2 linked regions of the Drosophila melanogaster genome follow. The protein of the gene in region 1 interacts with the protein of each later gene in a pairwise test. Each region holds a gene or a part of one and is shown on either strand. Other genes may lie near its edges. The genes, in order: Trpm and kmr.

Region 1 (5,225 bases):
GTAGAAAACAGACAAAAAGCAGAGGCCGAGAACAGTAGAGATGCGCGCCCACCCACGATGGTATCGATACTTTCGGCTTATCGGGACAATTTATCACCTAAACGAAGATAGTGTTAATAAAATAATGTTTACTAGCCTTATAAAAATTTTTATTTTTCATTTCATTTTTGAGTGACTCTGGGATTTCTTTAATTTTATTTTTATTACTTAATATAATTACTTAATTAATATTATTTTTGTATTTTATATTATTTATTTTTTCAAGAACGCAAAAGAAGCTTAAGAAACTTCACATAGAGCGGTATTAATAGATTTTTGACCGACAGTGTTGACTAAATAATTTCAACAGTGTCATTCATTTTTTATCTCCTAAAATCACCATCTCTATATTCGATTAGTTTGGCTATCGACTTATCTCCAAACGATATTTTTGAGCACTACGCAGCTCTGACGCACATCTGCGAAATGTTTATTTACAAAACGAGTTAGCATCATTATTGTCAAAAATGAATTCTCAAAACGAATTGCATCCAAATTGGCTGGCTCTAACAACATTGCCACTCCAACTGAAGCGATTCGTCCGAGCAGGAGATCCGGATTTTATCGCCGAGTCCCCGAAAGCAGTAAAGCACCAAATCGATGGCTTAAACGGAGCAGAAGCTCGTGAGTTCTACAAGGAGGTGTTGGATGCGCCCACAACCTGCCAACCTAACCTTCCAAGTACCCACAAAACTGCACAAACAAGAAGAGAGCCAGAAAGGATCCTAGTCCCCTTCGACAAAAGCAAATTTTTCCGTTTGGCCACTAGCAACAAAGTAGAGGAGCTGTCTCAAATGAAGGCCTCAGAAGAGGATTTAAATTCTCGGGATTCCTTTGGCTGGACTGCCTTGATGATGGCTGCCTGTGAAGGAGCCACGGAGGCAGTGAGTTGGCTCGTGCAGAGAGGGGTCCAAGTAGAGACCTCAGACAAATCCGGAAACACAGCTCTGAAACTGGCCCAACGAAAAGGTCACTTAGATGTAGTTCATCTTTTGGAATCCCTACCCATTTTAGAGGAAACTAGCGAAGAGGATGAGTCAGTTGATGGCAACAACCCCTTTTACTGTGAAATCTGTAAGAGGGACTACAAAGAAACCCCCTGGCCAATTCATCAAACATCCACAGTGCATCAGTTCAATCTAAAGGCTCTGCCCGCTCATAAGCTCCACAAATTTAACATATCTGCCAAAAATCGAGGACTCCAGCTGATGGTGAAACAGGGCTGGGACCAGGAGCACGGATTGGGACCGAGTCAAAGTGGGCGATTGTATCCCGTCAAGACTGTTCTTCGAAAGCAACGCACTGGACTGGGAATTGAACAGCAGTCGGCAAGGGTCTCCCACTTTGGTGCCTTCGATTTAAACGCTGTTAGGAGAAGGGATCCCATATATCAGCCGAGAAGGACGCGAAGCGATATGCAGAGGGAAAAGGTGCGCGAATGGAAGCGAGAACGGTACCTCCGCAGGGTACTAAGTTAAAGATGGCTTACAGAGAAAGCTAACAAGAATTGTACTATAAATTATAAATGGAGCCAGCCTAAGATGTTTTTTAAGAGCAAAATAATAAATTTAATTATTAATAATGGTGATTTATGAATAGTAGATTTATAAATTTCTCATTAGAAGGAATACAATATTAGTTATTCCTTCTTAAGAGGTACCCAATAAAACAACTGATGTTCAGCCGTACCCAAATTATATTATAAATTATATATGAAATTATTGAGTACAACAACATGGACTAGCACACTTACTTAAAAATTTAAACAATTTTTTGAAACTCTATTTAAAGTTGAAATTTTGTTTCGAAAGTTGGACGAGGGAATCACTTGCTAAATACACAAATTGTTAGGTTTATACGCACAAATTAAGCAACATATTAGTAAAAACACATAGTACACACCTGAAGAATGACTATTAATTTTAAATGTGATGGATTTAGGCCTTGTGATTGAAAATATATTTATTTTTGTAAGCACTAAAAACAGAAACAACCGATGGAAAGTGCTTTATGTTTGCAACAGCTGTTAATTTTTAACATTGGACTGTTAATTTACATTTGCGAAACTTCCAATTGGAACATTGGAATATTTCTGAGAGAGAAAATAGTGAAAACGGTATATAAGGAACTTCTCCGAATTCCTGCGCTCAGTCGTATTCGGACTGTTGTACCGTGAGGTCGTTCCCGTCTTTTTATACCGCGGAGTGCAATAAAACTAAGTAAGCAGTGCGTGTTTTAAAGTTCTACTCGCATGCTCGGCAATTAAAAGTGAAAAAGTGGGAGTGCGCCCACAAGGTCACCAACAGCAGTCGTTTCCCTTAGGTAAACAGCTAAAAAAGTGAAGCATTAAAGTGTCTGGAAAACCGTTGCTCGACGGCAAAGTAATTTCTAGATTCAAATGATTGAATTCCGAATTTTGATGCGGTGGCAACCCTGGCGGCCGATCAACAAGAACAGCTGATTGGTCTGAGTGTGTATGTGTTTGTGTGTGACAGCGTTTTTGCGGCGGAGCGTCGCTCCAATTTGTTGTTGGTTCTCCAACATGTGCGGTTCGCTTGGCGCATTTAAATATTTTTTAAAATAATTAACAATTGTGTCGACGTTTTGCTGCTTAACCGTTATCGTGTGTGTACCAGTGTTTTTTTGTGATTCGTGTGAGCCGTATCCCGTTCCCCGGTAAACCCCAAAAAACGCGCAGTTTCAAATTACGCAGAGCTGGCAAGAAGTGCAATTATTTTTGAATAATTAAACTAAATAGGGTGGCCATGTGATTGCATCGTGTGTGATAACAAAACGCTTACAAAGTCATCGCCGTAACACATTTACTCCCACGGACTCTGCAGGAATAGAAAAACTATATTGTTTAATATGCGCTCTGATGTTCAGTGGGCTTTATGGTTTATTTTCGTAGCATTTATTTTGGTGATTTGTTTAGTTTTGCATTGAACAATGTACATATAATTCGGTTCTCTCCGCTCCGCTCTCTCTTTCTCTTTATGTGGTGCCCTCTCGCTCATTGATCGACATTGCCAGCATCCCCTCGATTTTTCCAACCCCCACCTCTCTCCCCTTCGATCAGGGCCCCCTCATGAACTTGCTTTGTTGTTGGGGTCTACCAGGGGCGGATCTAAATCGTGAATCTTGGGGAGAGTAGTACCCTTAAAAAAAAATCAATCCATTGAGGCATTAACTTTTGTACTGCTTAAGAGATATAGCAAGCTATTATCCATAAACTGTAAAATAATTCAAGTTTTGGGATAAAGATTATCCCTTTGGTGCAACAGAAACTATTTCTTTTGGATTTCAGATCTTATACATGATTTACTATAAACAGTTTTTGTGACAGTGAAAATGTAAGGCTTGGAAGGAACCGATTTCAATGACACCATTGACTTCTTTGATTTCATACATGATCTACATGGGGGGTAGTATATTTAAAAAAAAGTTCCCCTCTAATATTGTCCCGCCTCTGGACCGGACCTTACACGGCATTTCTTTCCCATTAACCCCATTCGATTCTATTATTTAGACAACACAATGCTATAACCAGTCAAGTGAGGCGAGGGTGGGGCGAAAGAAACCAGAAAAAACGGAATAGAATATTTTTATTATCTCAACGATTCCCTGGAATGCTGCGAATGTATTATATGCTTGCAAAATTTACACTATTCAAAAGTAAAATGGGCTGAGAGTCATCAAATATATTCAATAGTTGCCATTATGTTTTTCGTAGAACTGAAATATTGTTTACATAATAAATATGCAAATGTTTTAGTTATTAAAAAGCTGAGACTTTAATATTTTTTTGACAAAACTACACTGTTTTTCTTAGTTTTATCACAATAATCCAGCCAGTATAATAACAATTGGAGGTTCTGTGTAGAAGTTCAACTGAATGAGCAGCACAAGGCCAAGCGAATCCCATTTACTTCAGTGCTTGGGTGGAAAAAAATCTCGTAAATCTTTAAAATCGTAAACCAAACAAATGCACAAGAGCCGAAATGAAAATGCTAAATGTTTATTATTGTAAAATAAACCAAGAGAGGCGGCCCGAAGAGCACAGAAATGAGATAAATGAAATGCCAAAACTTCCGGGTCATTGCCTGAGCGCAATGGCAATGCCAATGGCATAAGTAGTCCATTTTTCCATTCTGGGGAAGAGTAGCTCGGCTTTTTGAGGGCCCTTTAATTTCCATTTGGCTTTTTGCCCCCTAACTAGAGCCAAATATCTGGTAGTAGTTAAAGTGAATTGCAATCAAACGAACTAAACAAACACTCGGATATTATATTATGTGAAAATTCCTAATTGCCAAACACCTGAAATTCATCGCGTATACCCTTCGATTGTTTACGCAATACCCAGCCAACAAAATTTTGCGGAGACCGACATAATAACCATTAAAGCAATTACAACAATTATAAACAACAATATCGAAATGAGCAATACAAAACGCATGAACTTGAAAAACAAATTTAAGCATGCTTGATCCAATATTCAGGAGCCCCCAGAGCAACAGCACCAACAACAGCAGCATCCGCATTTTCCCTCATTCAGCATCAAGTATACGGAGAGACAAGTATTTCTGCTCCAGCGTTTTCCATCTGGCCGCGTTTTCCGACTCTACTAAGTGTTTTCCCAGGTAAGACCGTCGAGATAAATGCAAATTACTTTGCAGGACTTTAGTGAGCGTTTGTGCAAAAGCATATCCTATTCACACCGAATCAATTTAAAGAAAAAAGTTTAAATATGGAGTGAAAATTATGGGACATTAGATAGTAAATAAATTAATGATTTTCATTCCATTTTAATACTTAATATCGGTTTAAATCTAATAATATAAAGATTAGTCATGGAAATTATTTGTAATTATTTAATTGTCTTACTGCGTTGCATGTACCTTTGAAGGTTAAAATATCTAAGCGCTTTAAATTCCTAAATAGGCGCACAATTTTTCTATCTTTAAGATTTCCAAGTGGAATGCAAATATTGTTGAGATGTACGAGTGTGTGTAATTGGCAGGACGATGGTTGGCATAAATCTCTCACCTGCAGGAATTTTCTAATATCGCGAAGGTGTTGCATACCAAACGGTGCTTGAAATGAGCAATTTGCGAAAACTTTCGGCATAAATTGTTGCCCAAAATCTCCATCCCCTCAAGCGACGCCTCTGGCTGTGAGTGTGTCAG
Region 2 (5,144 bases), on another chromosome or scaffold:
TTTGAGTTTTATGCAAATTGTATACAACCAACAACAGCAACAACAACAACAAACAAAGGCCAGACGAAATGCATGGCATAAACTTTGCCAACTTGGCTGGCTGCAATTGTAGTTTGTGATGTGGATGTGGATCTGGATGTTGCTCTTCCTGGTGGTTGGGGTTGATGTTGGGGCGGCTTTGATGGCATCAAAGTGAGCTTGTCGTTGTGCAGACAAATGTTACGTACTCTCGTCACACTCTTACGTATGCAAATGTCCCTTGCCATTGCCGGCGCAATGCTGCAGTGCGTCCTCCACAATTGACAATTGTTGAAAATGCAAATGGAAATGGAAATGCCAAGACATGTGCCCAACAGCCACACCAGCAATTCATACATATGCCATGGATAATGGATACTGGGCGCACTGGAGGTGTGTTGGGGGTGGCATGCGGCGCATTGAGGTAAAGACAAATGCAAAGGCGTTGTCTCTACTATCATCATCCGGCGACGACATCTCCTCAGATAAGATAAACGATGGCAAAGTCAACAGCAACAACTGGTTGGCTACGAAATGCACTGCAAGAAAATGCAATGAAGTATGCTAAATACACTTGGCATGAATTTAATCTATTGCTATTGTTGAAAAGTGTGAAATGAATATTCTTAACCAGTGTCTTACATAACATTTCTGTATTTTGTTGTATTATAAAACGAAATACAAATAGTTTAATCAAATTTAATTATATAATATTATTTTATTATTACTTTTTGATATGAGTACTTGACATTTTTCTGAGTGCATGTGGGAGAGGTCAGTGTAAATAAGTAAATACGACATTCGTAGCCCAGAGCAGGCCGAAATAAATTCTCAAGTGCAAATGAGGTAAATGACAAGAGGTACGAAACCATCATAACCTCTGACCTGCCACCGATCCCCCCTCCACCAACGAGCGACCCATAAACGCCCACTTTGCCGAGCATTTGACAGTCGAGAGCAAACATGTCCAAGATGAACATCCATTTTGCATTTGGGAAATGAAAAGCGGGAAAGCTACAACTGACGTACATACTAGCATACTAGCAGACAGCTTGTCTATGCAGCAGGCCATCGCCATCCAATCCATCTGGGCGTGCAAATGTATCTGTATCTGCTATCCAGTATCTGGCGCTCGTATCTATTCCGCCTGTCGTCTCGTCCGCCTTTTGCAGCTTCATCAAATATTTAGCGCCAGGCAGGCGGCTTTATCTCGAGGGAACTGGAAGGAGGGACAAATAAGCGCATTCATTGTGTTCGTTCAGTGTAAATACGAAACGGATGTAGCACTGCTTGGAAAATAACAACTTTGTAAACTTAAGAGCCTAACTCGACTAGTTTGGTACTGTAGAAATATGAAAAAAAGGAAAAACTATTGTACACAGCTATTTGTAAATATCCTCGATGGATAAATTTATATAAAAAAGTTAAGACTTAAGACATACTGTGTACCTTTATTCAAACTAAAACATTTATACCATATATAATAGATACCAAGAATATTCCAGAGATTTCTCTTGATATAGAATTTCTGAATTTCTGAATGAATGGCGTTGTTTTATGTGCAGCTTCTTTTTGGTAATTTCATCGATTTACCAATTTATCACTTTCCTGCGGGCAATCACTTGTTTTGTTAGTTTTCCTTGAGTACTTTTGTCCACTGCACTTAATAGCATCGTTTTAAAATGTGAAAAGGGAAAAGTTTGCGAGCTGTCCAATCACTAATGAATTAAACAAACATTGAGGGCATCGACGTTATTTCTCGTTGAAACGCAAATTTAATAAACCACCCACACCTATGAAAAAACCACCGAAACGCAATATACCCCTGCAGCAGATGCTATCTGGAGAGCAGTCCGAACTACCCTAGTCAAAATGGAAAATTGGGAGTGTGGGGCAGTGCCAACGACCAGCCAAAAAGCCGGCAACAACAAACGCCCGCGCTGTACCACGCCGGCAACATGTTGCGTGTTGCTGCCGTGCGAGCAACATTGCAATGTTTGCACTCGCGTGTGTCGGTGTGTGTGCGTGTTGTTTATCTCGCTGCCACTTGAAATGTTGCCAAGAAGCCGGCCAGCAACATTAGCAGCATTTCGAAAACTTGTTTTCAACGTAGTTGGGTTTAGTTTACTTTGAGACGGCGACGCAGGTGGACGTGTCCGAGTGCGAGCGAAAGAGAGCGATAAACGCGAGCGGACCGCGTTATAAAATATTACAAAAACAACAACAACAACAACGCCAACAAGAGCTCAGTTCATTTCAGTGTTTGTCTTTAGTTTTATGGCGCACGCTGCGCGTCAGGTAGTTTTTCAGTTGTATATATGTACGTATGTACATATAATGTTTTTTTGTGATTCGTCTCGCGGCAATGTTTTATGGCTGACAAAACCATCGAGCGTGTAAAGGTTTTGCACTAACCGTACGACGAAAAAGAGGAAAAAAAAAAGAAGTGATGTACATTCTACGAGTAGATGTAAAGTGCTAGTGTTTACCCTTTTTTGCCGGGATTACTCATCATCGCATCGGCGCATCATCGACACCATCATTATCATTCGTTTACTAGCGGGCAACTTTACGAAATCCCAAAAAACCAGTATCGCTGTGCCCAAGTATCTGCAAGATACGTGAGGCAGTCCAGACCACATATTGGAATTTACTTAACACGTATGCAACACGCACCCATACCAGTTAACATCGAGCGGGACCCATTGGATTTTGGAACCGAAAACTACAGGGTAGGTAAAATCGCTTGTAAATCGGGGTTTCTTCTCGAGAAAAACAAGAGACGCGAAGCAAACACTCACACACTTGACCAGCTGCGTTTTTCCACCCTCACCATAAAACCTAATGATTCCGAACTACCTGTTTTTGGATTGACCCTGGTTTTCCCATTAGCCGCCAGAGGAGATTTCACTGCACCAGCGCATACCATATAGTCCATATATCGGAAAGCTGTGCGGCTATTTATAAATCTAGATACCCTGCGTTTTGGGGCCCAGGCTCAAATCCGGTTTTCCATACCCATATATCCCCCAGCCCAGCCCAGCCATCAATTCAATTTCTACTGGCTGAGTGAGTTTTTAACTCACAGAAGAATCTCCATCTCCAGGTCGAGCATCTTCTTCGCTGAAGATTTCTGAAGAGAGCTGGTTTCTTCGGGCCGTTTTCTTTTCCCTCGCTTTGTTTTCTTTCGTTTCGTTTTCGTTTTTTACTATTTGCCCGATCGTCGTGGTGATCATGATGCTGTGGCTTATTGCCGCCAAGATTTTTTCCACTTTTTTTTTTTTATGATTTTGCTTTTTGCCGATTGAAGGTGCATGGCCTTATTTACCCAGTTTCCAAATCGCTCACCGATTTCTGCTTATTCTGTTTTGGGCTTTGTTTTGAGGTATTTGCTGAATCACACGGGGATCATTTGAATCTTTTAGCCAGACAGTCACTGTGTGGAATTGCGATTGGGATTTTATTTGAGAGTCACACCCAGTCCGTGGCGAATGAGCTAGTATCCCGCTCCGGAATTGACTCACGGCCAAACAATGCGACATGCGGCGAAGTGCTGTGGGGCCACGCTGGCTTGGGCAAAAGAGAAAAAATCAAAAATGCAAAACTTGTTGCTAATAAACAACAATTACAGCAAAAGCAAAAACAAGTTCAGCTAACCACAAAAATGCTGGCAGCTAAACTCTAGACTCGTTGCCCAGGAGCTCCGCCGCACTCCACTACACTCCACTCACCAAAACAAGTCGGTGTATGGAGCCATTTTCTGATGTTGCTGGCTCACACTACTGGCCATTCGCCACCAGCAACAACCAACAGCAACACCAACAACCAACAGCAGCAACACCAAGAGCAACAGCAACATCGGCAATTTGTTGTTGCTGCACTGGAAAAAAGGTGCTCAAGGAACGGACATAATGTTAACATTTTAAAAGCCAATTCACTTCTAAATCAGACCACATTATGGTCCTTTTATTGACCATAAAGTGTAGCCAAATGAAGAGAAATGCTGAGCCCCTTCTCTGGAATTTGGCTCAGTGCATGTGTAAATTTTTGTCGCCATGTGAAGACCATAAAAAGCGGCCAAGTGGCCAGCTGCCTCAGCTTTCCTCTGGAAGCCACAGAGCAACCACAGAGAACGTCCATAACTGTGTCAGTGTGCAACTAGAAGAGGTCTAAGCCTATTAAGCACACTGGCTTAAGATCGGCCTATGCCAGGAGGTAATACCCGTAGCTCCAAAGCGATTAAGTGTAATTAATGCCGACAGGTGTCACTGAATTGGCGCAAGCTCAAAGAGATTGAAATGCCCTAATTGGAGGCTCCAATTAGGAGATATTCTCCCCACTTTCGACACTTCAAAGTGCGAGATTTCCACTAGTTGCTCTCTTTATTCACGTGATTAGCATGTGTGCCGTTCCTGATCATCATGTCACTGCCCAGTCTATCCGGTCTATTCCACCTCCTCCTGACTACGGCGGACGCACCTGGTGACCTTGCGCTTGAATTCCGCATAATTCTCCCGGTACTCCTTGGCCGCATCCACATTGGCGGCCGACTCGTCATTGGGATCGGTGAGCATGGAGATAACGGAAAGAAGGATCGTCTCCACGGTGTGGACCGGTAGCCAGCGCTCCTCGGCCTTCTCGTAGCCCCACTTATCGTCACCAGGTTCGTGGAGGATCGAGATGCAAACGTCGCCGGCCTTGTCAATATTGGGATGCCAGATTTCGGTGATGAACTTCATCTTGGGCGGGCGCAGTGGGTACTCTTTGGGGAAGATCAGGTGAGCCTTGAAGAAGCCGCCCTCGTATAGCGTATCTGGGGGACCGATGATCACCACCTCCCATTTGAAGATGTCGGAGTCGCTGACCAGACCGGCGGAGAAGCCCTCGACGGGATGGCGTTGTAATTCGGAGAGCTGGCGATTGAGCAGTAGCGATGCTTGCAGTTCGGACATGTCACTGGACTTGGGGGGGATAAGCACCATCAGTGGGATAAGCCATTTAAGTACAATCACATTTGTACTTACTGGAATTTTGTTCAATTGTTTCGAGTCACTTTCTGGTTTACTTCTACGGAGGCTGAACTACGCTCAATGCGACCTGTCAGCTTGCCGAGAGAAAACTCATGC

What was found.
Region 2: the proteins of Trpm (region 1) and kmr interact in a two-hybrid assay, tested with the Drosophila melanogaster proteins (one large-scale study listed by BioGRID).

The regions. Positions count from the first base shown.
Region 1 is NT_033778.4:15,306,332-15,311,556, reverse strand, and holds the start of Trpm (transient receptor potential cation channel, subfamily M), read left to right. Parts: upstream 1-2,188; 5' UTR 2,189-2,361; intron 2,362-2,559; exon of another isoform or gene 2,560-2,715; intron 2,716-4,258; 5' UTR 4,259-4,679; intron 4,680-5,225. Other genes in the region: CG8152 (uncharacterized protein), read left to right, coding at 507-1,517. UniProt on the Drosophila melanogaster protein: Calcium channel mediating constitutive calcium ion entry.
Region 2 is NT_033777.3:13,713,070-13,718,213, forward strand, and holds the start of kmr (kramer), read left to right. Parts: upstream 1-2,137; 5' UTR 2,138-2,750; intron 2,751-4,384; exon of another isoform or gene 4,385-4,463; coding exon of another isoform or gene 4,464-4,970; exon of another isoform or gene 4,971-4,979; intron 4,980-5,042; exon of another isoform or gene 5,043-5,107; intron 5,108-5,144. Other genes in the region: Ubc87F (ubiquitin conjugating enzyme 87F), read right to left, coding at 4,464-4,970.